Pelodiscus sinensis: one gene and its partners. The protein of the gene in region 3 purifies or fractionates together with the protein of the main gene of each other region. This does not show direct contact. Links are inferred from orthologs where the notes say so. Each region holds a gene or a part of one and is shown on either strand. Other genes may lie near its edges.

What was found. Proteins that work in one complex are often made in the same cells at the same time.
Region 1: the proteins of NOLC1 (region 3) and beta-arrestin-1 purify together in Homo sapiens (affinity purification with mass spectrometry; 4 studies listed by BioGRID and IntAct, counting the BioPlex papers as one, with this or other methods). This does not show direct contact. The link is inferred for Pelodiscus sinensis from reciprocal best matches to the Homo sapiens genes NOLC1 and ARRB1.
Region 2: the proteins of NOLC1 (region 3) and ARRB2 purify together in Homo sapiens (affinity purification with mass spectrometry; 5 studies listed by BioGRID and IntAct, counting the BioPlex papers as one, with this or other methods). This does not show direct contact. The link is inferred for Pelodiscus sinensis from reciprocal best matches to the Homo sapiens genes NOLC1 and ARRB2.

What each region holds. Positions count from the first base shown.
Region 1 is NC_134711.1:324,011,473-324,021,745, forward strand, and holds the start of beta-arrestin-1, read right to left. Parts: upstream 3,759-10,273; 5' UTR 3,118-3,758; coding exon of another isoform or gene 3,098-3,117; intron 1-3,097. UniProt on the Homo sapiens protein: Functions in regulating agonist-mediated G-protein coupled receptor (GPCR) signaling by mediating both receptor desensitization and resensitization processes.
Region 2 is NC_134734.1:8,205,455-8,215,218, forward strand, and holds the start of ARRB2 (beta-arrestin-2), read left to right. Parts: upstream 1-6,006; 5' UTR 6,007-6,511; coding exon 6,512-6,592; intron 6,593-6,748; coding exon 6,749-6,809; intron 6,810-7,278; coding exon 7,279-7,323; intron 7,324-7,576; coding exon 7,577-7,773; intron 7,774-9,164; coding exon 9,165-9,224; intron 9,225-9,598; coding exon 9,599-9,666; intron 9,667-9,764. UniProt on the Homo sapiens protein: Functions in regulating agonist-mediated G-protein coupled receptor (GPCR) signaling by mediating both receptor desensitization and resensitization processes.
Region 3 is NC_134718.1:2,407,599-2,417,529, reverse strand, and holds the start of NOLC1 (nucleolar and coiled-body phosphoprotein 1), read right to left. Parts: upstream 4,294-9,931; 5' UTR 4,243-4,293; coding exon 4,132-4,242; intron 2,865-4,131; coding exon 2,809-2,864; intron 6-2,808; coding exon 1-5. UniProt on the Homo sapiens protein: Nucleolar protein that acts as a regulator of RNA polymerase I by connecting RNA polymerase I with enzymes responsible for ribosomal processing and modification.

The sequences.
Region 1 (10,273 bases), on a different chromosome or scaffold from region 3:
GGAGTTGGTGCAGATTGGTGTAGTGGGTAAGCAGCAAGAGAGGGGAGGAGGTGATGCCATTGAAATGTGCGTGTGTGTGTAGGGGGAGGGGTATTTGTGTCCATACGCACACAGGCAGCCTAAAGTGACAAGAGGCAGCATTGCAGGTCTGCCTCAAAGATGTTAAGAGCAACAAAACTATCTGATGGCACGCAGGGTTCCTGACTCACGGGAACCTGCAAGAATTTGTCAGAGCTCACATACTTGTCATTGCAAACGAGTTCTTCCAATTCCTGAAAACAGACACCACTATGCAGAGTGTGTGCGTGCGTATGTGTGTGTGTGCGTGTCTGAGTGTGCACATGCACGTGCATCCATGCACGTACTAACACCCTCTGCTGGATGGACTCAGAACGGGTCCAGTGTGTATCTTAGGCTCTATACTGCTAACAGCGAAAGGAGAGTCTCCTGTCTTCATCCCACTCCTTTTTATGTTACACACAGAGGAGAGACATTTCAAAGGCACTTCCATTTGTGCCTTGAAAATCTCCCCCAGGCAGAACTTTGGGATCCAGTCTGACAGTTTCTCGGTAGCATCAACTAACTCCTCCATCTCGTCAGTGGAGTAATCCCAGTGGAACGACTCTCAGAGCCTTCTACCATTTATAAAAGCACCGAGCACAATCGGGCTTTGGCCCATGCCTGAGCCTCCTACATGCTACCACAATACCAATAAATAATGGTGCAATGTGTGGTACTTCTTAACAAGGAAATGCTGCTGAGCTGCACTCCCAAGACAGGCGGGCCCGGGGTTAGAAATTGTGAAAATAAATTTGAGGGAGAGTTAGCAACAAAAATCCAAAGAATAAATCCATTAAAAACCCCAACAAGCATGCCTATGCAGTGTGCCACAAAGTGCGTCTAGTTTGCGTAGCTGATGATGGTAGCAGGGCCAGATTTTTAAGCTATTCAGACCCTTCTCCTGTCTTTGGGACAGTCACCAGAGGAGAGAGCCATGCATGTTTTACAGTTCACTTCTCCATTATCAGAGCACAGTGCTGCTCCTCTCTCCCTCCTGAGTCTGTGCTCAACCCATGCTCCCAACCTGGCTTGAGGGGGTGTCCGCCTGATCCAAGGGCCCTCTTTCACAAGATTTGATAGTTTTCTTCTTTTCCCACACTGCTGGGCAGTGTTGTTGTGAGCTGTTAATCAGCTGCCACATCCCAACCCAGAAGTGGCTGCATTTCAGATATAAATAAAAGGCCTTTTAGCTATGGGTGAATCAAACTGTATGTATTTAGAATGATCCACTGAGGGAAAGAGTACCCACATTTTCTGGTTGCCCTAGCTCCTAAAACCTATGCACTCAGGGGTGAGGACCCCATTGTATACACACATAGTAAGAGGCAGTCCTTATTATAGAGCTCACCATGTATATAGACAAGGGTGGGGGGAGGGAGGATTCTTATCTACATTTTGCATGTGGGGAAACTGAGGCACAGAGTGGGCAGTACCCAAAGTCACATAGGGAGTCTGCCGTAAAGCCATGAATTGAACTAACAGCTCCTAACTCCTACACCATCGTCCTAGCCATCAGACCATCCTTGCTTGAGGAGGAGGAGGGGGGCCAGCTCTGGGAGGGGATGTTGACACCCGCACCCAGGAGCCTCGGGGATGGAGTGGGGAGCAGCAGAGCAGTCCGAGTTTCCCGGGGCTGATAACTGTCCCTGCGAGACTCTCCACACACCCACTGCAGGGCCCAAAGCTCACATCCCTCCCCTGCAATAGGAACCTCCCCCCTCCTCCCCAAAACTCAGAACCTAGGGCTGGAGGAGATCTGAGCTGCCCCTCCGAGAGTGAGGCTTGGCCAGCCAAGCCCTCAGCTCAGGACTGAGCGCCAGGCCTCCTGCGTGCTAACCAAAGCGCTGACTCGCCGGGCAGCAAGTCACTGCACGGCCGTGCCTCAGTTTCCCCACTTGCGAAGGAGTAGTACTCGCCTCCTGGGGGGCAGCGCCGGACAGAGACTGCCAGGCCAGCGAATGCTGCACATGCTACTGTAGGAGAGTCATCGCTCGCCCCTGCTCTGCCCAGCGGGCCAGGCTGCGTCTCACATGAACTGGGAGTGGGGCGAGCTAACACTCCCACTAACCCCCCTGCCCTGAAGGGACCCTGCTACGGTGCAGCCCTGAGCCCCCCCAGAGGAGACGGCAAAGCCCCTCTCCACGCCCTGCAGTCGCCCAGCCTTCGCCCCAGACAATTGCAGGGACCCCGCCGTGCGCATCTGCCCGCGGTAACTGGGCCATTTCGTGGGATCTAAACGTGGCCCGGCACCAGCCCTGGATCCTCTTTGCTTCGGGTCCCGGCCAAGCCAAGCGGGTGATTCACGGAACCGATTTCCACAGCCCCTAGCCAGCAGCTGCGCGACCCCTGACCCAACGGGAAGCCCGCCCTGCTCCCCTGGGCTACCCGCCGGCGGGGGCTTGGCTCCGAAAGGAAACCGAGGCACAGCAGGAGCCCTCAGCAGCCCACGCTGCCCTGGAGCGGGTCCAGGCAAAGCGAAAATGCCGCTCGCCCCCCAGCCACGGGACCACCCCGCCACCGACCCAGCGCGTCCACAACCCCCGCGAGCAACCCGGGCGCCCTGCAAAAAGGCCGCCTCTCCAGCCAACGCTTCTTGGGGGGGATCAGGCCAGGGAGAAACCCCCCTTCCGCCGCCTGGGGAAAGTCCGGGTTTTCAAGCCCGCCTTGTAGCATCTGCCAAAGGCTGGAGCTGCGGCGCTCCGGCCGAACAAAGCGACACACGCTGGTGAGCGGCAGATGCTAGAGGAGCCCTGGAAATGGGCTATTCATGGGCATTCGGTCGAGAGCGGACGGCTTGGAGTCTGCGTTCGCTCTGCTGGGCCGTTCAGCGCCACACGCCGCCTTGCTGCTCTGCTCACAAAACAAGTCCCCTCACCCTCCAAACCCAAACATCTCCCGGTACATGGGAAAACGCCGGGATCCAGCAGGCGGATCTGCCGGGGCAGCTACAGTCCAGGAAACAGGCGAATAACACACGCGCAAGCATCACCGTCTGCAGCTGAATAACCCGCATGTAAAAAAAAATACATTCACCCACCTGGTTCCTTTGTCTCCCATGGCCCAGGCCACCCTTCCAGCCACTTGCCAGGGAAGGATCAGAGAGGCGTGGAAAATTACTAGCTGTTAATGTGGAGCCAGAGGAAGCGGTCGTCTCCTGGCAGGAATTGCTTACTCGCGCTCTCACCGCACCAGCGCGCAGACCCCGGCTGCAGACGATGCAGAGAGCTCCACCGGGCTGTCGCCTGGCTCCGTGTCTTAATAACAACAAGACTGCTGGGCGTGTGGCCGTCCGGCCCTGAAGTGCTTTTGTGCGTAGAGATCACAGCCTGGAATAAACCCAGCGGTGGTGCACGGATGTCAACGCAGCCATGAGATGAAGGGCACAGGCGCAAATCCCAGGCACAGGGAGACACACACACACACACGCAGAGGATCCCTTAGAGGGTTGTAGCTCGCAGACACGGCTGCTCCATCTCTCCCATTGACAGCTTCCCCTCCTGCCTCCGTGGAGAGAGATCCACCCTCGCCGGGCTCCGAGCAACACCGCCTCCTACTCCAGGCGTGCACAGCTCAGGACTGAGCCGCGCACAGCTGCTGCAGCCCGTGTGGTAACAGGCTCAGGAAATCAGCATCAGCATCATCTCCCTCCGGCTGCCCAGAGCTGCGTGAGAGCAGGGGGCTGGCTCTGCCCGTGGCCTGTGAACCGCGGAGTGTGTGCACGCAGGGGAGCTGGCCATGCCGCAGCTCTCCAGGCAGGGGAGTTTGCGTTTCCTGGAAACGCTCTGTGACCCTTCTCTTCCTGGTGCCAAACAGCTGGATTTGGGCAGAAACCATCCCAGGCCATTGGCTTGGCTTGCAGGACAACGTACAGCCGGTCTCACCCCTGCACTGCCCCCCCATCCGCCTCTTATTAACCCCTCCAGCACAATGCATGCAAGGGCTTCACAGACAAGAGGGACTGGAATTGCTCCCCTGCAGCTGAAATGCAGCCACCTCTGGAGTGGATCATGGACAGCGCAGAACACGGCCTCTCAGTGCTTAGCGAAGTTCAGTGGGGGAGATCTAGGTTGGATATTGGGGGAAACTATTTCCCTAGGAGGGTGGGGAAGCACTGGGATGGAATCCCGAGGGGGTGGAATCTCCATCCCGAGAGGTTTTTAAGTCCCGGCTTGACAAATCTCTGGCTGGGTTGATTGAGTTGGGATTGGTCCTGCTTTGGGCAGGAAGCTGGACTTGATGACCATCTGAGGTCTCTTCCAAGTCCTATGATTCTATGATTCTAACAGTAACCAGCACTGAGGTCTAGTTCGGCTGCAGCACAGAGATTCCCTGGAGCCACACTGGAATGTACTCCTGTCACGTCCCCTTCCAGTGAGAGCAGCCGGCCATGGTGTCAGTTTGTTCACTGACTACGCCCAGCTGTTTCGTGGTCTGGGGAGGCCGAGGGGGGAGCACGGACTGGTGAGTGTGGATGCAGCCACATGAGTCCGTTAGATAAGCTCCAAACTGCAGTGATGCACGATGGCCCACTTCTGACCAGAACAAGCTCAGTATGCCTTTGCGAGTCAGTGGAAAAGAGGAGGGGGAACCACTAAGCCACCCAGTCCGACCTTCTGTGTATCGCCGCCCAGTAGCCACCCACATCAGACAAAGGGACTGCAGCCCACAGGAGACTGGGCCATGCCGCAGGCAGAGAACACAAGACACCAAAGCCCAAGCACCCTGCAGTGGTGGGGAAATGACTCACTGAGATTTACCCAGGTGATGTAGCGGGTGACCTGCTCCCACAAGCTGCAGAGGAATGAGAAAAAAAAACACCCCAAAGATCTGTGGCCATGTTCCTTCCAGACCCCACCCAGGGCTACAAATGAGACCCTGAGCACAGCAACAAGAACTGGCCAGAGAGAGACAGAGAGAGGGAGAAGATGCTCCGTGTCCCCACTTACCGCATCCAGGTTGTCTTCAAATCAGATGGCTGCCTCAAGAGATGCAAAAATGAGCTCCCTGTATCCATCACCTGGGATTATAGTCGCTCAGAACAAGATACCTCTGGGCTCACACAAATACATTGTCCCTTTCCACTGAGAACTGACAACCCAAAAGGGCAGCAGGAAGGAAATGTCCTCATTGTGTAGCTGGCGACCCCAGGTGCAGAGAGCCAGTGACTTGACAAAGGTCACACAAGGAGGCTGTGGCAGAGGATGGGATCCACAACTCCTGGTCGCCCTCTATGATGTGCAGAGTGAAAGGGCTAGAGAAACGAAGAAGAAGAATGGAGGAGACAGGCTGCCATTTATTTCAGGACATGCACCTCACACAAACTTCTCCACCGTGAAGCACCAGCTAGGGTGAAGGAAGCAGGGGACGATGCCTTAGAGATTGTCTCCATTGCGTAATTCTGTGTACTTGAAAATCTCATTGCTTGTGCCGTTTGTCCCCTCTGGATTCTCTCTGGTGATGTCACTGGCGTTCTAGCGCTCACTTCAAGAAGAAGAGAGCAGAGGCACGCCACTGTGCGTGTGCGTGTGGTATGAAAACTGCTAGTACAGCATGAAGGGCTGCTCTCCGGTGAATAAAGGCCTATTTGTGTAACTAAGTGGTTAGCTAAAATCAGAGGGTTTGGGGGTGGAAGGGGCACTTGATCCTTCCCCTAGGCAGGAGACAGCAGGAGGCAATTTCCATTTCTGAGGCAGATGATGAAGCTATTCAGATCTCCTGAGCTTTACTCTCCTCGGCTCCAGGAGATTGGGGTTCTCTTCCCACAGAAGATTTGTATTTTCTGCCCCAACTTTAGTACCAAGGCATTTTAGGCTGGGAAACCCCCATAGTTCAGTTTCCTAGGTCAGACTACATTTCCCATGGTGCACCTCAGTCTCTCTTCTTGGCACTGCATCATGGGAGTCCCTGGCCCTGATGCATGATGGGAGATGGAGCCCTGCTCCTGGCTCTCATGCACAAATAGATGGTCAAATCCCACGCCATGCAGAAGGAGCTCTGACACTGTGTGTAGGAGGGACAAATTCAGGTCTTTGTCCTTAGACCCAGAGCCCAGCAACAACTAAAACCCTTTGATGCGAAACCTGCTAACAGTTTGCTGAGCTTGTCTGCACAGTCACACGTTCTCACCCCACTGGACTGCCTAGAATAGCACTAGACCTCAAAAGCGCCCAGGCCCCGAACGACCTGCCTGAGGTCACTTCCAGAATGCAAACAGGGCCTCAACTTCTCCACTCAACAGGGTCCCTCCACTGACCCCAATGCCACCGTGTGTGGGTTCACAAGGCAGCAGATGCCCAACAACATTAAACCAATCACGAAGCCCTGGAAGCCATCTCGCTCCAGATAAGGATAGGGCAGGGTTCACTTAGGGACCAGCAGGCCTAGTGGGCCGGCCAGGGCTCAGCAGTCCCCCAAATCCTGGGGTGGGCTTATCAGGCAATCCGAGGGGCTGGTGGCCAAGTTACAGTCTGTCCTTCTCCAGGTTCCCCCGGTCAGACAAAGGCCGGAGGGAGACCTTGGCCCTCCCTCTCCAATAGGTCCCAGCCCAGCACCCAAGGTGGAAGGAGGGTCTCACAGACCAGCCTCCCCTTGGTCACTTCCTACCTCTCCTTGTCTCCCCTCATTTTGGGGCATGGTCAGACACTCATGGAGGGCTGCTGAAGCTGTCTCAGCCACTCAGAAAAACAGCTTCCCCGCCCCCACCCCAGCGCCCAACGATTCCCCTTTGTCAGGGGGAATGGGAGGGGAAAAAGACGGGGCGAGCAGTGAAGGGGAATCCAGGGTCCACTGTTCATGTGACACCTCCCCCCGCAGCCTGGGGAAGGACTGGGACAACCCCCCATTGTTCCAAGCCCTGCCTCTCCTCACCCAAGCTTCACCCCCTTCTGACTCTTGCTCCACCCTCTCCCTGCCTCTTCCTGGCCTTTGCTCTGCCTCCGCCCCACCTCTTCCTTCAGTCGAGGCGGCTCTGGGGGAATAGCTTGGCTGGGGGCAACGCCAGCAGCAGGGTTCTCCCCCCCCCCCCGCACTGGGGGAAGTGGAGCAATATGGCCCCGGCTCGCTGTGCTCCTCCGGCCACGTTGCCTCTTCCCAAGAGCGAGCGCGGGGGCCGTCTCGTCCCTCTCTGATGGACAACTGGAGGAGCAGAGCGAGCTAGGTCCACTTTGCTCCACTTCCCCCTACTGCCATTGAGTCCGGGGGTGAGGGCAGAGCCCTGCTCCAGGAACAGGCCCCCTGCTGCTCTGCCTCAAGTGCTGACCAGCTCCTTGTCTCTCGCACCCATAGCTTTGGGGCACATGACCCTCATGCCCCCCTACATGTCGCCCCAGAAAAGGAATCACACCCGTGGGCCCATGGTCTGGACACACCCACAATCCAGGGCCTCCATGGGATTCCTCTCTCCCAGAAGCTATTGACTGGCTTCCTATCCGCTGACAGCCTCTCCTTGCTGCCTCAGCCTGACCCATCCCCTCCTCAGCAAGTCCTCCAGCTGGTGGAGCAAGCTCTGCAGCTGCCAAGGCCCAGGCCTGCTCCATCACCCCGTAGCCTTAGCAACCTGCATCATGGAGCGTTTGCACATGCGAGCTTGTGGCTCAGGCCCCAGAGCTTGGTTCTAGAGCCAAGCTCTTCTAGAGCATGTAGAGCTTAGGTTTGAAATGGCCATTGTGTCTTTACACGGGGTCTTCATGTCTTACGTAGGCCAAAGCCAAAATGTAAATGCCTTGGCGGCAGCTCTCCCCCCCAACTCCAAGTTTTCAAATGCTCCTTTATTTGGGCCCTTTTCCTCCCTTTACTACTGTGCTGCAGAAAAAAAGGAAACTTACTCTCCTAAAACAACGAATAGTCTAGCAGCACCTTAAAAAGACTAACAAAACATGTAGCTGGCATCTGAGCTTTCGTGGGTTCAACCCACTTCTTCAGATGGCTGGAGTATTAAAAGTCCAGATCCAAGAATAAAAAAGGGAAGGTGTGTGTGTGGGGGGGGGGGGGGGGGGGGGGGGGGGGGGGGGGGGGGGGGCGGTGAGAGGGAGGGTGGAGGAAAAGGAGGAGGAGAAAGAAAAATAAATAAAAAAAAGTAGTGAATTAGATTGTTCAAGTTACACGAGGCTGATAAGAGCAATTAGCCTCTTGTAACTTGATCTAATTCACTACTTTATTTTCTCTTTTTTTCCCCTTTTTCCCTCCGCCTTCCTGTCCCTCCGCCTTCCCTTATTTATTCTTGGATCTGGGCTTTTAATACTCCAGTCATCTGAAGAAGTGGGTTGTACCCACAAAAGCTCATGATACCGTCTACATGTTTTGTTAGTCTTTTTAAGGTGCTGCTAGATGATCGTTTTTTAAGTTTTTCCAGTTACCGATGTCAGGGACTCTAGCCCAGATGACTCGGTTCGTTGTCTGACCGCAAAGAGACAGGCAACACCAGCAAAGTCCAATCACAAGCTCTTTATTGAAGAGTGCACACAACAATAGAGAGCGGCCCGTCTCCAAAGAGAAGCAGCCCCGATTCTAGTGACAGGTAGGCTTATAAAGATAGTTCCGTTGCGTCATAAGCTCTTCACCCAAGCCACTTACCCCCCTTTCTAGAAACTTTTAATATCTATGCATATCTTAGCCAACCATACATTGTGGCCAGAAGCGCTTCAGAATGCATCAGCAACTTTCTTATCAATCACAAAAGGCAGGTACCAGGAACAAGGAGACAAAAGAGTCGGGTACAAACCAAGGGCAAAAAATAGGGAGGTAAGATTAGTGAAGGGGAACAAAAACAGGGAGCTTCTGACCAGTTCCCAAAGCAAGCCGCAGTAGGTACAAATATGTAATTTATCACTTCTTACTTTTATAACCTAAGCCAGCATGGAGGGCGCGCCTCTGTCTGAACAGCTTTCCTGGTTCTGGTCAAGAATACTCAGAGGCCTATGAAATTAGCCTTTGTTAACTTTCCTTAGCATAATGTTGACCAGGCCTTGTTTTTCTGGGCCCCACACCGACTAACTCAGCTACCCCTCTGAAGCGTTTGATCTCCTAGAACAGCCAGCAGTCCCTTCCCCCCAGGCCAGCCATACACTTCACAGCAGGACCAGCTGCTCTGGGCGTGAAATCCCAGTGTGAGAAACACAAGTGGCCAGAGAGGAGCCAACACATTGTCACCATGTCAAACACCAGCTCCCTCCTTCTATAGAGTCATCCGACCTGGGGCTACATCCAACCTTCTTTCCTCCCCCCAAAGCCACAGCAGAACTCTGCCCCAATCTCTCCACCATTGGAATCCACTCCTTCCGCCTCCTTGGGCTGCACTGGACAAGGGGGCCAGTAGCCAGCTGACAATGCAAGTGACTGGGATAGTTCTGGGATGAAGACCAGTCACTGGTCCTTTCATTTGGCATTTTAAGTACATCACAGTGCAATAGACCCCAGGATCATCCTATTATGCCAGATTACTGCTCAAGATTGTCTATAGAGTGCTACCAGACCTAACAAAACATGTAGATGGGATCATGAGCTTTCATGGGCACAGCCCACTTCTTCAGATGACCAGAATTATCTGAAGAAGTGGGCTATGCCTACAAAAGCTCATGATACCATCTACATGTTTTGTTAGTCTATAAAGTGCTACCAGACCATTTGTTGTTTTTTTCTGTAATAGGCTAACTCGGCTACCCCCTGAAGCTCCTGCTCAAGATAGCTAAGTCCAAAGCAGACTGTGAAGACCTTCAAAGGAATCTCACAAAACTGGGCAACAAAATGACAGATGAAATACAATGATGATAAATGCAAAGTAAAGCACATTGGATAACATAATCCCAGCTATACACATGAAACAACAGACTCTCGATTAGCTGTTACACCTCAAGAGAGAGATCTCGGGGTCCTTGTGGCTAGTTCTCTGAAAACATCCTCTCAGTGTGTAGTGACAGTCAAAAAAGCAAACAGAATGTTGGGAATCATTAAGAAAGGGATGGAGAATAAGACAGAGAACATCTGCACTACGGGACAAAGTTGAATTAAGATACACAACTTCAAGCTATGTTAATTGTGTAGCTGAAGTCAAAGTACCTTAACTTGGCTTTTGGCGCTGTCTACACTGCAGGCAGCTGAAGGGAGAACACTCTCCCTTTGACTTCCCTTACTCCTCATGGAAGCAGGATTACCAGCATCAACCGGAGCACCCTCTCAATTTGAATTAGTCGTCTTAACTAGACCCACTCATTCAACC
Region 2 (9,764 bases), on a different chromosome or scaffold from region 3:
ATGCGACGGAAGGTGGGGCTTGGCAACAGCCTTGAGAAACTGTCTGGGCCGTGGGTGTGGCTAGAAACCGCCATGTGCACCCGATCTTAGTGGGGGGCCTGGAAACCGCCATGTGTGGCCTTTCCCCTGAGAAAGGGGACTGGAAACTGCCATTTGTAATAAATCCCAATGGAAGGGGGCTGGAACGGCCTTGTGTGACCTTTCCCAACTGAGGGAAGGCTGGAAACCACTGTGAGTGGTTCCTAATGGTGTTGAGAGACACCATGGCTCTGTCTACACTGCTTCTTTTGCCAGAAATATGCAAATAAGGCTAAGCATGGAATATCCCTGAGCCTCATTTGCATACCTAATGAGCCACCATTTTTACAGAAGAGGCTCTTGTGCTAGAAGGAGCTGGCTACACTGCCCCTTCTTGCACAACAAAAACCCTCTTGCGCAATGTCATTCTTCCTGAAAAGTAATCAGCGTAATGGCATTGCGCAAGAGGGTTTTTGTTGCGGGAGAAGGGGTAGTGTAGACAGCTCCTTCTGGCACAAGAGCCTCTTTTGCAAAAATGGTGGCTCATTAGGTATGCAGATGAGGCTCGGCGATATTCCATGCTTAGCCTCATTTGCATATTTCTGGGGCAAGAAGCCATGAGTGTAGACATAGCCCATTTGTGCCAATTCCCAGTGGCATCTAGACATCATTGTTCCCAATTGTGAGAAGGGATGGAAACCACCATATGTGACCATCCTGGTTGTCCCACATAGAGATTACGCAGAGCCTCTGCCTCAGTAGAGGAGTAGGCCCTGGATCTCACCCAGTGCATGCCTCACTGAGGTGGGTCACCAGAATACCACCAGGCACATGTGTCTCCATCAGAGGATCCTATAAACCACTGTGCTTACCTGTGGGGTGGGACTTGAAACAGCTATGCACACCTGGGAGATGGCTGTAGTGATGCAAGGGTAGCAGAGTTTGGGGTCCAGTCTTTCCTGATTGGGGGATGAGGGGCTTGGTAACCATTTACTGACCTGGAGTGGGGAGAGAAGTTTGGGTCCTGGAGCTGTCTAGGAAGGAACAGTGAGTGTCCCCTAGATGTAGGGCAGCCACGGACCTGAGCTGGGAGTAGCTGGGGGGGGGGGGGGAAGCTGAGCCACCCTACTCGGGGATGGTGAGCTGTACCAGCTAGGGACCTCAAACAGGTCTCAATCAAAGGCGTAATCCCAGAGAGACATTTCATAGAATCATAGGACTGGAAGGGACCTCGAGAGGCCATCAAGTCCAGCCCCCTGCCCTCAAGGCAGGACCAAGCTCCGTCTACACCATCCCTGACAGATGTCTATCTAACCTGTTTTTAAATATCTCCAGAGAGGGAGATTCCACCACCTCCCTTGGCAATTTATTCCAATATTTGACCACCCTGACAGTTAGGAATTTTTTCCTAATGTCCGATCTAAACCTCCCTGGCTGCACTTTAAGCCCATTACTCCTTGTCCTGTCCTCAGAAACCAAGAGGAACAAATTTTCTCCTTTCTCCTTGTGACACCCTTTTAGATATTTGAAAACCGCTATCATGTCTCCCATCCCCTGCCTGTGCCTGCCCTGTGCCCCAGAGATGGGGAGACACCTGTGAAATATGGGGATAGAGCTAAGTAACCCCTGAATAAAAGTCCATCTCTGCAGTCTTCTCTCACTTCTGCTTTCACAGTTGGTTGAGTAACTTCCGCCAGCACAAACCACAGCTGTCCCATTTCCAGGCATGGGGCAGGGCTCATGTAGAGCATGGGGGAGGGGGACGGGCCGGGCGTAGCAGGGTGCATGCAGGGCATAGGGGTGCTGCATGGGGCAGGACAAGGGGGAGCAGCCTTGAGCAGGGCCCAGGGGGATGGCAGGGACTGTGCAGGGTACTGGGGTCACTGCATGGCCCAGGGTGCCGCAAGATGCATTCAGGGCACGTGCAGGGGGGCTAGCTCCTCTTTGTGCTGTTGAACGCTACGTGCCGAGCCGCGGGCAAGGGGCTGTCTGGGCGGGGGGGTCATTCCCCTCGCTCGCCACAAGGTTGCAGCAACATCCCCCGCCCCTGACGGCTCCTCCCCGGCGCACCCTCGGATTGGCTGCGCCGCCACCCCACGTGACGCGGGCCTGGCGCTGGCCATGGCTTCACTCGAGTCCGCTCCCTCCCGCTATCACCCGGAGCCGGGACGTGAACCCCGAGTCTAGCGCGGCGCCTGCACCCGGAGCCGGCATGGGGGAGAAGGCGGGCACCAGGTGGGGGCTGGTCCGGCGCGCTACAGGGCGCGGGGTGGGGAGGGGGAGCTTGCATCCCAGCAGGAGAGGGAACCCAGGCGTCCTGGCTCCCCCCCAACCACCAGCCCCCACTCCCCTCCCACAGCCAAGGAGTCCTGACTCCCAGCCCCCCCCAACCACCAGCCCCCACTCCCCTCCCACAGCCAAGGAGTCCTGACTCCCAGCCCCCCCCCAACCACCAGCCCCCACTCCCCTCCCACAGCCAAGGAGTCCTGACTCCCAGCCCCCCCCGCTCTGACTCACCAGCCCCCACTCCTCCCCAGCGCTGGGGAGGGAACCCAAGAGTCCTGGTACCCAGCTCCCCTCCCCCCACTGACTCATCAGCCCCCTCTTGCCTCCCAGAGCTGGGGAGAGAACCCAGGAGTCCTGGCTTCCCTTGCATATGAGTGGGAAAGGCCTGATCCTGGTGCAAGGATGTAGGTCATGGCTGGGGGAGGGGCAGCTAATCCAGGAGTAAGGCAGCAGCACTGCCAGGCACTGGGGGTGGAACCAGATTACGGAGATATCGGACCCTGGTGCCAGCCCTGCCTCGGACGCCTGGGTTCCTCAGGACACCTTGGGAAGCTGTCATTTAACACCCAGATGCCTCGGTCCTTTGAGGCCTTTGGGAAGGGCTCCCTCCAGACAGGTGCAGGGACCTGGCCCATGATATGATATTCTCCCCCTGCCCTGTCTCTGCGTTGGGTGCTAGGGATAGGCTGGAACCTGGCAGCAGCTGTCAGGCATGTTTGGTCAGAGCGCTCTGGAGTTTATTGCCCCAGAGATAAGGGCAGGAGGCTAGAGAAGAGGGGGCCAAGGGCTGCCTGGCTCCACCACTCCTGCCAGTGCCCCTCACTCCCAATCCGCAGCCCCTTGGCTCTGAGGCTGTTTGGGATAGTGGGTCTCTCCTGGCGTGGGGGTGGGTCAGAAAGAGGAACTGGAAGCTGCGTAGCTCAGCAGGCAGACTGCAGAAGCTGCTCTGAGGAGCAGAGCAGATGTGGGGGGAGGGCTGGGATTGGGGGAGCAAAGGGATCCCAGCCCTAAGTTTTTCTTTACAAACACTTTCAGTCCCAGCCCTAGGGAGTCCCACACTCTGCATTCCGTCCCTGGTGCAGAGATGCAGCCACCTCTTGGGGGAGCGGAGAAGTTGTACAGAAACCTATGTTGAGGAGGGAGGGGGGCCCAACGCTGTCCCATCCCCTTGGGGCAGTGCTGTCCCTTCCTGAGGCCATAGAGAGGGCTCAGGATTAGGGCCAACTGGCTGAGTGCTGAACCGCAGGGGTGCACGGTGACCTCCCCCAACTGTCACCCAAGTGCCTCCCTAGGACTTCCTCACAACATCCTGTCTAGGAAACAAAACAGGAAACGCCACGTCCTGTTGGAGACACGTGTCCTAACCTTGTGCCAGCCCTGCCCCATGCCAGTGCCCCTCACTCCCAAACAGCAGCCCCTGCCAGCCCAGTCCTGGGCTCCCCTCAGCTCTGCCAGTGCCCCCCATTCCTGACTCTCAGACCCTGGCAGCCCAGCTCTGGACTCCCCCAGCTCTGCCAGTGCCCCTCACTCCCAACCTATAGCCCCTGCTACCCCAGCGCTGGGCTACTATGAGTGCTCCTCACACCCAACACAAAGCTCCCTACTGCTGTTTCTGTTCCCATGTGCTGGGTTCCCTGTTTACATCCTGGCACCCCATATGTCTGTACCTTCCAGGTGGGGCTGCTTCTTGACTCCTCCTCCTCAACCTGGTTGTTCTGAGGAAGGGGGCCAACAGCCAGTGGGGTCAAAGGTCAGCCTGGATCTTCCCCAGTGCATGAGACATGGGACTAGCAATTTCCATAGCAACCTGAATATGTAGGGGGAATCCAGCACTGAATCCTCCCCCCAAACTGTATGAAATGTTTGGGGAGATGCTCTTAGAGGGAGGCTCTTAGAGGGAACTGGGCAAGCCTGGTGGGGCAGAAGTTGGTTCTCTCCCCTTTCTGGAAAATTGGGGAGGGCTTTATGGAGAGCTGTGGGGGACCCTTCCCCCCAGATCCTGCCCCCCTCATTCTGAATCAGCTGGGTTGTTCCCCCTTCACTCCTGGGTGGTCCCTGAATTCACTCCTCCCCACCCCCCTGCTGCTCCTGTCACTATGGTTACACTGGGACAACCAGCCTGGATCCTGTTTCTGTGGCAACCAGCTAGACCTGAGGCAGACAGGTGGATTCCCCCCCCCTTTCCCCCAGCTGAGCTACTGCTTGGAAGGCAGAGGTCAAAGGTCAGCCTGGTGGACCCCTGAGATGGGGGGAGCTGAAGTTGGGGAGGCCCATGTCAGTCAGTTCTGACCTATGCCCCTTCCCCCACCCCTTTTCCTCCCCAGGGTCTTCAAGAAATCAAGTCCCAACTGCAAGGTGAGTGACAGCCCGGTGCCCCTCACTCCCAACTCGCAGCTCCTGTGCCCCACCTGACCCCAAGCCAACCTAGCCCCATCCAGTGCCTCTCACTCTCGACCTGCAGCTCCCAGCCACCCCGGCCCTGCCCGGTGACCCTCACTCCTGACCCCCAGTAGGGATGTTAAGTATCGGGTAATTGACTAGTCAATAGGACACCTCTGCCTTTGAAGTGTAACAACAGCTTGAGGGCTGTTGCTACACTTCAAAGGTGAAAGCACCAAAGCGCTAGGGTCAACTGGGGACTCCCCCACTGACTCCAGGCTCCATGCAGCATTGCTGCTTTGAAACGGCATTTCAAAGCAACAGCGCTGCACAGAGCCCAGGGTCAGCTGGGGAGTCCCCAGCTGATCCTGGGCTCCCCACAGCATTCAAAGCAGCAGTGCCACACGGAGCAGCTGACCCCACGCTCCATGCAGCGCTGCCGCTTTGAAGTACCCCCCCTTGTCGCCCCCCTTGCTGCCTCTTTCTGATAGAGCCAGCAAGAGGGAGGAGCAACTAGTCAACTATTCTGTCGACTATCCGATAAGCATTTGCTTATTGGATAATTGAATAGTCTTTCACATCCCTTACCCACAGCCCTTGGCCCCACAGCCCGGTGCCCCTCACTCCTGACTCACAGCCCCCCATTTCCCATCTGACGTGTAGACTCTGGCCGTGCCCGGTGTCCCTCACTGCCGACCCGCAGCCCCTGGCCAGCCTTTCCCTGCCTGGTGCCCCTCACTGCCGACCCACAGCCAGCCCAGCCCCACCCAGTGCTCCTCAATCCCAACCTACAGCCCCTGGCCTGCCCAGCCCCGCCCAGTGCCCCTCACTCCTGATCCGCAGTTCCCGGCCAGCCCAGCCTCATCTGGTGCCGCTCACTCCTGACCCGCAGCCCCGCCCCTCCCAGTCCTCCTCAATCCCAACCTGCAGCCCCTGGCCAGCCTGGCCTTGGGTTCTGGGTAAGAATGTTAACTGGAACAGCCATCCGCCCGTTGTGGGTGTGGGGCTGCTTCCGCTGTGGGCGGGGAGGGCAGGGTGCTCCAGCCTGGCCTGAGCAGCTCTTGTTTTTGTTTGCTGTGGGTCCAGCCCAGCCAAAGAAGGGGTTGCTCCAGCCTGGCCACGGGCAGGGGCTACCCTGCCCAAGTGCATTTAATAGGTTAACCAGTTAAACTTAATGTTTAACCAGTTAACTCATTAAATGGGATTTTACATCCCTAGTTCTGGGTGTTATGGTCTCTTCCCCCCCCCCCCCCCCCCCAACCTCAATGGTTTCCTCTTGCGGCTCTTCCCCCGCCTGGCTTCCTCCCTTGCGCACTGACACGGGGATCCTGCCATGTCTCTCCCCTCCCCCCATGGGCCTTTGCACACACTACTGAGTGCCCGTCCACGCAGAACTTGGCCTGAGGCTTGTGCATAGAGAGGTGGGGGGGCTAAGGTTGGGATGGGAGTGGGGCCCTGTATTGTCGAGGGGCAGAAGGTGCAGTGTAAGGGGGGCTCTGAGCTAGGGAAGAGTCATCCCAGGTTCTTGAGGGAGAAAGGGGGAGAGGCCCTGAGCTCCAGGCAGTGAAGAGTTAACCACCACCCACTTCTTCTCCCTCCTTCCCCCCCACACAGTTTGTTTACATTGGGTTTCCACACACCTGCCCCCCCCCCTTTCCTGATTGGCTGCCCCCCTCCCTAGGGCCCCCTCAAATTCCTAGGGGGCGGCAGAGCTGCAGATAAACAGACTCTGGAAGGAGCAGCGGGTGTGGGGGGGTGGTAGGTACAGTGAAGGTGCGTGGGGGGGCAGCAGGCGTGGCTGGGGCAGGGAGGGCATCTCAGGGTGGGGATGGAGCCCCTGGAGCTGGACAGGATTCGATGTGAGATGTCTGGGAGCCTCCGGGTCTTCAGAAAACAGCTGGGAACCCAGGTAAGGGGGTGCTAATTGGGGACTGACAGCTTGCATCAGAGCAGTCCTGATCTGGTAGAGTTCCCCCCCACCCACTGGGTGCTGCAATGGGCTATTTCCCCACGTGGGTGTGAGGATCTGTCTGTCCCCCTTCCCCATGTCTGTCTGTTCCCACAGCTCACTGTCTATCTTGGCAAGCGTGACTTTGTGGATCACCTGGACCGGGTGGACCCTGTGGGTGAGTTAGGGGGTTAGGGAGTGGGGAGGGTAGGGGCCTTAAAGGATTGGTGGAGGCTGGGAATTGGGGATATTGGGGGGCTGGCAGTTAGGGGGTCAGACATGGAGGAAGGTCAGTGGGGGTCTGGAGTTCAGAGGGCCGGTTGGCTCTAGGAGTGCTGGAGGTTGAGGGGCAGAGATGGCTGAGGGGCAGTGGGGTGCTAGGGCTGGAGGTGTTTGGGGTGCTGGGAGACCAGGGACTGGTTGGCTATTGGAGTGGGGTGGTGGTTACGGGGATGAGGGTTCAGGGTTAGGAGACATGGAGTAGGGAGTTAGAGGGCTGGTCAGAGACTGGGGGTCAGAATGCTGAGGTGGCTGGGGGAAGTCTGGGGGTCCAGGGACTGATTGGCTCTGGGGTGGTTGGGGTGCACAGAGCTAGTGGGGATCAGGGGATCCTGCCCAGTCTCACCCCTGCCCTGATTCCCATGCAGATGGAGTGGTGCTGGTGGACCCCGAGTACCTGAAGGATCGGAAAGGTGAGAGGGGCTGGGGGGGGAGGCTCCTGCTCTGAAGAGGGGTGAGATTCCAGGCTCCACCACTGCCCCTTTGACCCAGACTGGCTAGGGGCGAGGCTGAGTGATCAGGCTCCACCCCTGGCATGTCTGTTCTTGGGTAGGGGGAGGCATCTTGGGGAAAAGGAGGGTGGGAAACAGCTTGGGGAATTCTGAGTAGAGCTGTCTGAGGCCTTCACCCTGTCTTGCTGCCCTCTTCCCCACCCCTCTTCTGCAGTGTTTGTGACTCTGACCTGCGCTTTCCGCTATGGGCGTGAGGACCTGGATGTGCTGGGCCTATCGTTCCGCAAAGACCTTTTCGTCGCCACGTGCCAGGCTGTGCCCACCCTGCCTCAGGAGCAGTGCTCCCCCACCCGCCTGCAGGAGCGGCTGCTGCGCAAGCTGGGAGCCCATGCCCACCCCTTCTCCTTCACGGTGAGCGCCCCGGGGACTCTCCAGGGACCCTCAACCTTCCAGTGCCCTCTTTCACCTTCATGCTGAGCCCCCAGGAACCCCAGCACCCCCTAACCCTAGGGATGTTAGTGGCTAGTTGCCTAATCGTTTAACCAATATGCGATTGTTTATCAGTTAACAGTCCCAGTTAACTGCAACACACCCCTACGTGCTCTGCATTTAAAACTCGGACCAGCAGGTTTGCTCAGTCGCAGCCCATAGGTCCAAGTTTTAAATGAAGAGAACATGGGAGCCCCCTACCACGCCACGCTACTGCCTTTGAAACAGCTCAGAGCCTGCGGGGCAGCAGGTGGGAGTCGATACGTGCCAGCAGCTGGTTTAAAAACCAGCTCCAACCTTCCACCTGCACTAATGCCTCTGAATCAGCCTGAGCTCCTGTCCTACTCCTGGAGTCCTAGACAGGAGCTGCTGTCACCAACACGGAGTGGCAGGGGGCTCCCCAGGAGTAGGACAGGAGTTCACTGGCTGCCAGGCCCAACCTCAGGAGGGAGCATTTTAGTAACCGTGTACAGGGCGCCCCCACTCTAAGTCCCCCTGTTATACATCTGTTCCACACTGAAGTCGTTGCCACTTGTAGGAACTGATGCATTATAAATCCTCCCATTCCCTGCTCTTCGGTCATGCCAAAAACAAAACAAAAAACCCAATTTGAGCACATGGAAGTCATCCGTGGGGAACAATGCCCTGGTTTCAGTTTCACTATAAGTCCAGGTTTTTTTAAACATATCTTGGATTTATCGCAAGGCCGGCCTGTAACCACTAAGCACTGCTGACACTACACAATTACTAAAATAAACCATTTCTGACATCCCTGCCTACTCCCCCCATACCCTCTTTCACCTTCACAGTAAGTCCTCAGAGCGTCCCCTCATGTGGCAAAATGGGGATTTTATGCCCTTTATGTTGCTTGTTAGTTCTGGTGTCATGCCATGTGTTGCCTTCGTTTCCCTGGGCACTGTACCAATGCCTAGACGGGGCTGGGCATTTCAGTGTGACAGCCTCCCCCACATCCACAGTGGCTGATACTTTCTGGAAGTTGAGCCTGGGAGGGGTGCGTGTCTAAGTAACATCTTTACACCAGGAAGCACCACAAAGGCTGGAGGAGGGGCCTGGCTGGGACTACCCTGACTCTGGTCCCCCCTCTCCCCAGATGGATTGTACTGGCTGCTGCTGGTTTCTATGTTGACAAGTCTGTTCTACACTGTATCCCTGTCACCTACTAAACTTTCTGTTTTACCTGCCGGCTGGGAGTCACATCTGACGGCACATGGGGATGCAGGGCCCTGTGACACACCCAACCCCTAGTGCCCTATGAGGGGTCAGAGCCCTGCTTAACCTTCCCTGTGTCTCAGATCCCGCAGAATCTGCCCTGCTCAGTCACGCTGCAGCCTGGCCCAGAGGACACAGGCAAGGTATGGACTGTGGGACTGAGAGTCGGGCGTGAGGGGCACCAGCAACACTGGGGGAGCTTAGGGCGGGGCTGGCAGGGGCAGTGGGTCAGGAGTGAGGGGCACCAGCAACACTGGGGGAGCTTAGGGCGGGGCTGGCAGGGGCAGTGGGTCGGGAGTGAGGGGCACCAGCAACACTGGGGGAGCTTAGGGCGGGGCTGGCAGGGGCAGTGGGTTGGGAGTGAGGGGCACCAGCAGGGCTGGGAGAGCCCAGGGCTGGGCTGGAGAGGCTGTGGGTCGGGAGTGAGGGGCACTGGGAGAGCCCAGGGCTGGGCTGGCGAGGCTACGGGTCAAAAGTGAGGGGCACCAGGCTAACAGGATTTTTCTCCCCCTCTCAGGCCTGTGGGGTTGATTATGAGATCCGAGCTTTTTGTGCCAAATCCCTAGAAGAAAAGATTCATAAAAGGTACTAAAGTCCCCCATGTAGGGTAGAGGCTACAAATGTGCAGGAAGATCCCCTATCCTACCAGAACCTGGGAGAGAACCCAGGAGTCCTGGCTCCCG
Region 3 (9,931 bases):
GGGATCTGGGGAGGAGGTTTGCAAGTACAGGAAAGTCTATTTTCATAGCCACTGCATACAACAATATACAAAGTAGCTATGGCCACTCTGTGAGGATTCAAGACCTGGTCTGTTTACACTAAGAGTTCTCTTCATACACCAGATAACTTAGTTCTTTTGAGCTATGGTAAGATGCTAATTAAGAGATTTTCCAGTGAAAGTAATCAGACAAAGATTTCATATGTCGTACGTTTAAAGATTTTAATGACTTAAATAAATACAGATTGTTATTTTCAATTCTATTATGGCATCAAGTCTCATTAAAAATGCAACTCAGTGCTGTTGATGATTAATTGAAGCCAGAGGTTATACTTTGCATTTTTGACAGTATAAATGCAATCACTAAATTCTGCATTTTTTATTAATATCCCTGTTTTCTTGACAGTTACCTTAATTTTAAGTTTTAATTTATGTTTTCTGCATGCAATTCAGTTCCAGCTTTGTTTTTCAGTAGCCCTCTTAAAGGCATTAGCTAGATAAACGATTCTTACAATGGAGAGGTATGCAATGCCACAACTGCAAGGTTCAAGTCTCCGCATGCCTATTTTCTCGACTTTGGGGTGAACCAAATAAGGGATCTCTTAGGTCAAGAGATCATGGATCTGGAAATATGGGTCTGGGGTTTTAAAGACACATGAAAAATGCAAATAGAGAGATGGGTAGAGAAAAGCAACAGAACCTGAGAGAAAATGAGAAAAGCAGAATGCTTATGGCTGCAGGAGTTTATCAGGGTATTTCTCTTCCTGCACTGAGGGGTAGGAAATTCAAGTGCTGCCTCATCTCATTCTTGTTTAAAATAAACTGCTCACATCCCAGAGATACTTGGGGTTCACGAGGGGCCCCTGAGCTCGTGACACACAGCTCTCGGAAGCCCTGACAGTGGCCTTAAGCACAGCCACCCCCTCTGCATTCCTTCCCAAACACAGCAACTAAGGCAGCTCCCTCAGGATCCTGACTCTGCAGACCCTTCCAGCTCACAGCAGCACATTTCTGATTCAAACTGCCCATGCTCCCCACCCCCCCATGTCTCTTGCCAGCTCTTTCATCAGTTGTTCCGTCCCCAATAAGCCCACCCTACCTGCACTGAGGAATAACTGGCTCGGGGCAGACAGAAAGGCAGGATTACAGCATGAGCATTTTGGGGATCAGTTTTTAATGACCAGACTTGGACTCTAGAACAGCCAACTGGGCTTACGCAGCACTTTTAAAGCAGTGTCTCCTAGCTGAATGCAGACCAGCAGGTTGCAGGCACATGTCTCAGGTAAGTCCTAGCTAAAGCTGAAGACAAGGGTCTAACTACCTGTAGCTTCTTAACGGCCACAATTAGATTAGCTGGGAGCGTGGGTCATTTTACAATCTCTCAAAAACAACTAGTTTTGCGAGGATTGTGTAAAGTGCATATCTACTACACAGTAACCCCGGATAAGGTTTTCCCCTCTGTTTAGAATAGCTTATTTTTACTGTTTCTCTAATCCCTTTAAGGTTTCCTGGACTAACTAGCTCCTTTTCCCTACTCTCTAGCCTCTTATCCTGAGAAGACCAGCTACCCTTTCAACAGCTGCTTTGTTGCCAAGAAGCCAACTTGAATGCACATTCTTTTACGAAAATTAAGGATGTGTCTTCATTGCCCAGTTAGCATGGATTCTCACCTGGGTGTGAGCACTTCTACCTACACAGAAAAACCCGGGTTTGGAGGTTCTTTAAGCCCAGAGTTGCTTGTCCAGCTGGGGAAAACTGTCCAGCGAAGTCATACCATAAGTATGGAATATCAAAAAACTCACATATTAGCCTTTCACTTAAAATAAGGTTAAAAGGGGTTAAAGGGCCGTAGGCTGCTGCTCCTGAAATGGCAGCCTGGAACTTTGTGACGAGAAGGCCGATTAGAAGTGCTTTGCAAATATTTTCTAAAAAACAGTCCTTCCTTATTATGGACAGGTACTGCCTGGAACACAGTACCAGCTCCTCCAGTCAGAACTCAACAACTTCTCCCCTGGAGTACCAGCACCCCCCCCCTTTTTAACCAAAAAAAAGCACTGGATGGACCTAACCTCCATGAATCTATCTAGCTCTTTTCTGAACCCTGTTAAAGTTCTAGCCTTTACCACATCCGCTGGCAAGGAGTTGACTGTGTGCTGGGTGAAGAAAAACTTTTGTTTTAAACCTACTACCTATTAATTTCATTTGGTGACCATTAGTTCTTATACTGTGGGAATAAGTAAATAACTTTTCCTTATTCACTTTTTCTACACCAGTCATGATTTTATAAACCTCTATCATATCCCCCCTTGATCTCCTCTTTTCTAAGATGGAAAGTCCAAATCTTTTTAATCTCTCTTCATAGGGGACCCCTTTTGTTACCCTTTTCTGAACCTTTTCCAATGCCAATATATCTTTTTTGAGATGAGGTGATCACATCTGTACGCAGTAATCAAGATGTGGGCGTACCCTGGTTTTAAATAAAGGCAATAAGATATTCTTGGTCTTATTCTCTATCCTTTTTTAATGATTCCTAACATTGTTTGCTTTTTTGACTGTCGCTGCACACTGAGTGGATATTTTCAGAGAACTATCCACAATGACTCCAAGAGCTCTCTCGCGTAGTTGTAGCCAAATTATTCCCCATAATACTGTATGATGGAAGTTTAGTTTTGCTGGAAAACCTTTGCCATTTAATACACCAATCTGAAAAACAAAGCGACCATAGAAATGTCCCAGAGATGGACTGGCTTAGTCCTTCTCAACAAATATTGTAGGAGGAGAGACACTTACTTGAGCCAGTAGTTGAAGACATCCAAGAGAGAAGCAGCATTAGGGTCCTGGTCTGTCTGTAAACCAGAAACACACAGGACTATTAGCACTGACAAACCACATGGACTTCTCGACTTTGGATGGAATGGAAAACCCTGACCCATTGGCAACCACTTCTGAATTCACACCTTCCTGATGTATACCAGGTGGAGAGGTGGGAGACTTAGCAAATGGAGTGTGTTGCTCATAAAAACCTTCAATAGCATCAGAAGCTAGAGTTAAAAGCCTCTGAGTAATCTGAAAAAAGAAACAACCTGAGTTATTTAGGACTCAAAATTCCAGGACCCATAGATTTGTTAACATCTACAACCAAGATTCTGCAGACACTTCAGCCACACGTGTGCTAGGAGACATTGCCTTATTCTTAACTATGCACACTGAGTAGTTTCATTCATGTTAAGGGGACAACTCAGTGTGTCCAGTTAGGTATATGCCAATGCCTTGCAATAATGGAGCCTAATGGGAGGGGGGAAAGATTTACTTAACATCTTGATTAGACAGTAAGTATTCTAGAAGAATTATCACTATCAGTATCTAATTACGAAAAGACAGAAAAAGTGGGCAGATCTGGAGAAAGTTGGGGGGAGGGAAGAGAGGGGAGGGAGGCCCTCCCAATTTTGCGATCATCTGCCACCATTTTCAATGAGGTCTCACGCCTTATGCAGAGACTGTCTCTCCCCGGTGCTAAGGTGACATGCAGCTGCCCGGAGAGGTAGGCAAACACTGTTCTCCCAGGAGCCCCCCCCCCCGGGGACAGCCCCCCCCCTTCCCCCAGGACCCCCCCGGCCCAGCCCCCCCTTCCCCATGACCCCCCCCGGCACAGCCCCCCCCTTCCCCCAGGACCCCCCCCCTTCCCCCAGGACCCCCCCCGGCACAGCCCCCCCCTTCCCCCAGAACCCCCCGGCACAGCTCCCCCTCTCCCAGGACCCCCCCCGGCACAGCCCCCCCCTTCCCCCAGGACCCCCCCCCGGCACAGCCCCCCCTTCCCCCAGGACCCTCCCCGGCACAGCCCCCCCTTCCCCCATGACCCCCCCCCTTCCCCCATGACCCCCCCCCCGGCACAGCCCCCCCCTTCCCCCAGGACCCCCCCCCGGCACAGCCCCCCCCTTCCCCCAGGACCCCCCCCCGGCACAGCCCCCCCCTTCCCCCAGAACCCCCCCGGCACAGCCCCCCCTTCCCAGCCCCTCCCCTCTCCCAGGACCCCCCCCCGGCCCAGCCCCCCCTTCCCCCAGGACACCCCCCCAGCCCCGCCCCCAGGACCCCCCCCCCGGCCCCGCCCCTCACCACGCCGGCCGCCCGGCCGAAGGCGCGCGCCGCGCCCTCGAAGTGGTTGTCGCGCAGGAAGGCGAGGACGAGCGGGAAGAGGTCGCTGGGCACCGCGCGCGCCTCCGCCATGCTTCCACGCCGGCCGCCCCGCACGTGCCGGGGGACGCGCTGCGTCGTGAGGTCACGGGGTCACACGTCACACGTGGCCCCGGAAGGGGGCGGGCCTAGCCGCCATGTTGTTAAAGGGAGGGCCCGCCGCCCGCACAGCCGTAGAGCGCTCGCGCGCCACCTGGCGGCCGGCGGCTGCAGTGCAGCGGGTAGGGAGGGGCGGGGCCAGGTCCTTCGCCAGCCTCCGGGGCAGGTGCCACCTGAGCACGTGGGAGGCCAGCAGCTGGGGCCAGTGGGCCCTGCCCTGGGGGCTGATCCGGGCCTGGGCAGCACTGAGCTGGGGGAGCCGAGTGCGGCTAGAAGAACTAGAGGACACCAAATGAAGTTAATGGGGAGCAGGTTTAAAACTAATAAAAGAAAGTTCTTCACACAGCACATAGTCAACCTGTGGAACTCCTCGCCGGAGGAGGCTGGGAAGGCTAGAACTAGAACAGACAGGGCTGGGTGGAGGCATGGGCGAGCTGGGCAGCTGCCCAGAGCCCCAACCGACGAGGGGCACCTAATGGCAGCTGTAAGGGGCGCATGGTGTCCCTGACAGATGCCATCAGGAGACGTGCGCCCGGCTCCTGCAGCACCTGCCCCTCAGTGCCGGCCAGCAGTGCCCTTCCCCCGACGGCTGTGGGGCCCTGCACGGCCCGGCATGTGTGCCAGCAGCGCTGGCCGGGCTGGGCTGGGTAGCGCATGCTCCGCGTGCCCCGGCAGCGGGCCTCAGGCTTTGCGCCAGTGGCCATGGCTAGCGCGCGTGTATGCCATGTGCCCCATGGGCAGGCCCGTGCCCCATGGGTGGGCCTGCGCATGCGCCCTGTGCCTGGGGGCAGCACTGCACGCCCGGGCCCAGGGCGCCAAAAGGGCTCGAGCCAGCCCTGATAATAGAGTTTAAAGAGAAGCTAGATAATTTCATGGAGGTTAGGTCCATAAAAGGCTATTAGCCAGGGGATAAAATGGTGTCCCTGGCCTCTGTTTGTCAGAGGCTGGAGAGGGATGGCAGGAGACAAATCGCTTGATCATTGTCTTCGGTCCACCCTCTCTGGGGTACCTGGTGCTGGCCACTGTCGGCAGACAGGCTACTGGGTTGGATGGACCTTTGGTCTGACCCAGTCCGGCCGTTCTCCTGTTCTTATGAGTTTATGCGCCGACAAAGTGGGGCTCTTATGTAAACTGTAACCAAGCCTGGGACTCTCCCGGGGAAGGAGGCATTGCACCCGCTCTTACCAAGGGGAGAACTGAGTCAGAGAGGTCCAGGCCAAGATTTCGAGCAGTGATGGCAGATTTTGGGCGCCCCTCTTGAGACCTCAAAGAGGCCGGCTCCTCAGGAAGGGCTGGGCAGCTGCTCCCTGAACCAGCCCCATCCAGGCAGGCTGCTGATGGGGCAGCCCCAGGTGCTCGTCACTCAGGACGAAGGGAACGTGGCCGGGTTGCGGTACTGGGGGCTGTCCGGGCTCGAGACGGGAGCATTTTATTTCTGCCTCCTGGGGAAGTGTTGCCCTTTGCCCAAATGGCTGCCACCTCCCATCTAGGGGCCAGCCTCAGCGAGATGGCTCCCGCTGGCGTGCGTGGGCAAAGCGCCCCAGCCGGAACTGCAAGGAGGAGGAAGACCAGCCCTTGGGCCTGGCCACGGAGAGGCCACCACGCTGCTGTCCTCTCAAGCAGCCAAAGTCCCTCGCCTCTGAGTGCAGCCCCGCTCATGCTATGGCTGTGTAGTGCCGAAGCCCGGCCAGGCAGGGCAGACGGGGCCCTCGCTGCTGCTCTGTACTTCCCCTGGAGAGCAGCTTCCCAGCAGTGACTAACCGTGAATGAAGCGCAAGGCGGGTGTGATACACACAACACTCACCCCACAAACGCCTAGTCACTGCCCTTCTCTCACTCTTGTCCCCGGCTCGGCGAGTGTTTTCTTCTCTCGTGCCTCACGGGCTCTGCTCAGCCGCGGCCTGGCTTTGCTTCTTGCTCTGGTTCTGTCAGCTGCAGGGGGAGCCAGGCTCTCAAAGCAGGGCCTGTCCTGCTCCCAGCTCCGCCTTGGGAGACACAGATCTCGGAACCAAGCCAAGCGATGGAGCATTTTATGCCAACCCTCTGAACTAGTCCCATTGTCCCAGTCTCCTTGCATCTGTTTCTCTGCACTGAGCTGGAGTGGGCCTGCTAAGGTTGCTAAGGGAAGGACTTTCTGGTGGTGCCACACCAGGTCCAGGGGGTTCCCTGCTTTTCTCTTGTCCCCAGGAGATGTGGCACCTGCAGCCACTTTGACCTCAGCAGCCCAGTTGTGGTTTGGGTCTGTTCTGAAAATTGAGAGCGGGGGTAAAATCCACTTTCCCTGGTCTTAGAACTAGCCAGGCTGAGCAGGAGCTGGGAAAGACTCAGAGCCGCATGGGGTGACATCTGTAAGCTTTCTAGGGGTATTCCTTAGTCCCAGCAAAGATCCGTATGTTTTGCCTCCTGCCCTCTTATGACAGCTGCTTGACATTAGCTCCAGCTTGCTCTGCTGCTGTGGTAAGTCATGCGCGGGTGTCTAACATGCACCTGTTAAAATCAGCACTCAGACAGGGCCTGTACACTGCAGAGTGACGCTTGGTCACGTCCTTCATAAGCCAGGGCCCTACCAAAGTCATGGTCCATGTTGGTCAATTTCATAACCCTGGGCTTTTTAAAAATGGTACAGTTCATGAGTCCGGCTACTTCAGTCTGACATTGCAGGTTGTCACTGTTGGGGTCCTGACCCACAAAGGTGTTTGGGGGCAGTCGCAAGGCCATTGTGTGTGGGGGGAGGAGAGAGGTTGTGGTATTGCTACTCTTGCTTCTGTGCTGCTGCTGCTGGAGGTGACAGACATTGGCAGAGCTCAGAGCACCCAGGTAGGTATACAAAGTCCCTGTGACAGAGTGGGACCAGCTTCTTAGTGGCTTGAGTGTGAACCAAAGCCTGCAGTTTTGGTGAAGGCTCAAATCTAGATGTCAGATTTTAGGGATGTTATGAGACAGGCCAATACTTTGATCCGTAACTAACACCGATTCTTCCCTCTCTCCTCCATCAGACACTCTTTTGTGATGTCACAGATTCCTCGCAGTTTCCCCTGTGGAGAGGAACGCTGTTGGGTATGAATCCTAGAACACTAGAACTGAAAGGGATCTAGTGAAGTCATCAAGTCCAGTCCTCTGCCCCCACAGCAGGGCCCAGCACTGCCTAGACCATCCCTGACAGGTGTCTATCCAACCTGCTCTGAAATATCTGCAATGTTGGAGATTCCACAACCCCCATCAGTGATTTATTCCCGTGTTTAATCCCCCGGACAGGCAGGAAGTTTTCCCTAATGTCCAACCTAAACCTCCCTTGCTGCAGTTTAAGCCCATTGTTGCTTGTTCTGTCCTCAGAGGCCAAGGAGAACAATTCCCCCCCCTTCTCCTTGTGACACCCTTTTAGATCCCTGAAAATGGCTCTCATGTCCCCTCTCAGTCTTCTCTTTTCCTAACAAAACAAGCCCAATTCCTTCAGCCTTGCCTCATAGCTCATGTTTTCTAGGCCTTTCATCATTTTTGTTGCTCGTCTCTGGCCCTTCTCCAATTTCTTCACATCTTTCTTGAAATGTGGGGCCCAGAACTGGATCCGACACTCTAGCTGAGTACAAAGGCTCTGATTGGCTCGCTAGCAAGGCAGGAAGTGCTCGAACAGGACTCCCCTGACAATCTGCAACGGAGAAGGCTGCTTGGGGTAGGGAGATGGGGGCTGTTACTGCGTGCCTGGGACTGAGGAGGACGGGACTGGTCAGTTCTTGACTCAGGACCTTGGACAGAGCCAGCGTCCGTCTCCAGATCTCATCCCTTTCCATAAAACCAAACCGCTAGACACCCTTTCGTGCGGGGGTTCCTCTCTGAAGATGCCTGTCAGTGGAACCTGGTGAATCGGGCTCTGCTGATGGAACCGGTGACGTGCGCCTCTGGGCTAGCTGGAGGCAGGGAGTCACTTCAGAATGGGGCGAAGGGAGTGCGAAAGGGAACTGCTGGTGAATGCAAGAGGTTCGGACGATGGCATTGGCCGGCTGAATTTGCTCTTGAACTCAGAAATCCTGCTCTGACGCACCCTGGCGGGAAAGGAGCAGTAATGCTCCGTGGTGGCCTCCGAGCCACCCTGCTCCCAGAGGGAAGAGTAGGAACATGTAGTGTAAGGTGCCTCCTCTCTGAAAGCAGGGTGCACCCACCTCTGCCGGAATAGCAGGTCCCTAGGGTGATTCCTGCCCCAGCTACTATGGAAGCTGGTCCCATTGTGTCGAAATCGAGAGCAGGGCTCTGCTTTTCTGCACCCGGTGGGGGTGACGGTGGCTGGGAAGGGTCACAAAGGCCTCCTACAATCTACTGGAGCAGCAGAAGGCTGTATATAAGGTATTTTGCACCCATCCTAGCCCATTATGAAACCAGTCCCACCTCACCCACCTTCACTGATTTAAATCTTGCAAAATTAATTATGCAATGGTCAGACACCCTAAAAGGACCAGACACTCACCAATAGAGAAGTAGAGACCATAAAAGCAAAATACTAGAGTTTTTGCCCCCACCATTGTTGGTAAGTGATGCCTTGCCAGACTGAATGCCATCAAACAAATTGTTCTTTCTACATCTAAAGAGATTCCTTGCTTATCTACATGTGCTGTTGAGGGGAGCAGCCGGATGTTACCTTGTTTTAATATAATTTAGAAGGAGTGCGAGGATGTGGTTTTCTGCTCCTTTGGGCTCATGCCTGCTGCTCCCCTAGAATGGCTGCAGAAAAGGGCCTCAGACCTCACAGCTTTGCCTGCGTATTGTTTGACAACCTCCGTGCGAGGACTAGGGTGTGAGAATAAACACAGATGGACTATACTTGTACGCCACATCAATCAAATCTCCTCCGGCGGAAAGCTGACCCGCGAGGCCTCTATTCCTGTTCCACAGAAGGGCAACACGGACAAAATCTTGATGGTGCTCAGCAAAGAAACTCTTCCGAACGCAGCCTTAATCCATGCCTGTTTTGCTATGTCCGGGGAAGCTTGTGTCTCAAAGTGAAGGCTTCATCCTTCCCATGTGGGAAAATGTGAGATGCTTACTAATGTCAAGTCACAGTTCTTTATTTGACACTACTTGCTCTGTTTCCTTAAACCAGAGCAATATGACTGACCACTAGGTGTGTGTCTACACTGCACCCTTAGCTCAAAATAAGCTACTCAATTAAACCAGTATTCCAAAACATCCCGTGATCTTCATGGAATGAGGCTTACAGGGATGTCAGAATAGCGATCCCATTTCATTTTGAAATAACAGAATAGATATTTCAGGATACTTCCGGTATCCCAAAATAGCTCCACTGTGTAGACATAACCTAGGAGTTGTGGGAGAAAAATCAAATAACTCCAATTGTGTCTAAGGGGGGACTGTGCAGGAAATCAAAACTCTCTAAAAGAAAACTGCTGTAAGGGTTAAAAGTTTTCCAGGCCTCTCTCCCTGTAACAGAGAGAAATCAAATTAACTCTAATCAAGACCCTTACAATGCCTCCTATCTCAAGTTCATGGCTACTCCTAGTCTGTCACAAATTGTCATGTAAACTCTTATCTTTGTTACAGGTTGCCTTGTAGACTCCTCACTCAAGTTCTCATTCTATCACTGTTGTACTGTAAAACTTACTTCTAGCACTTC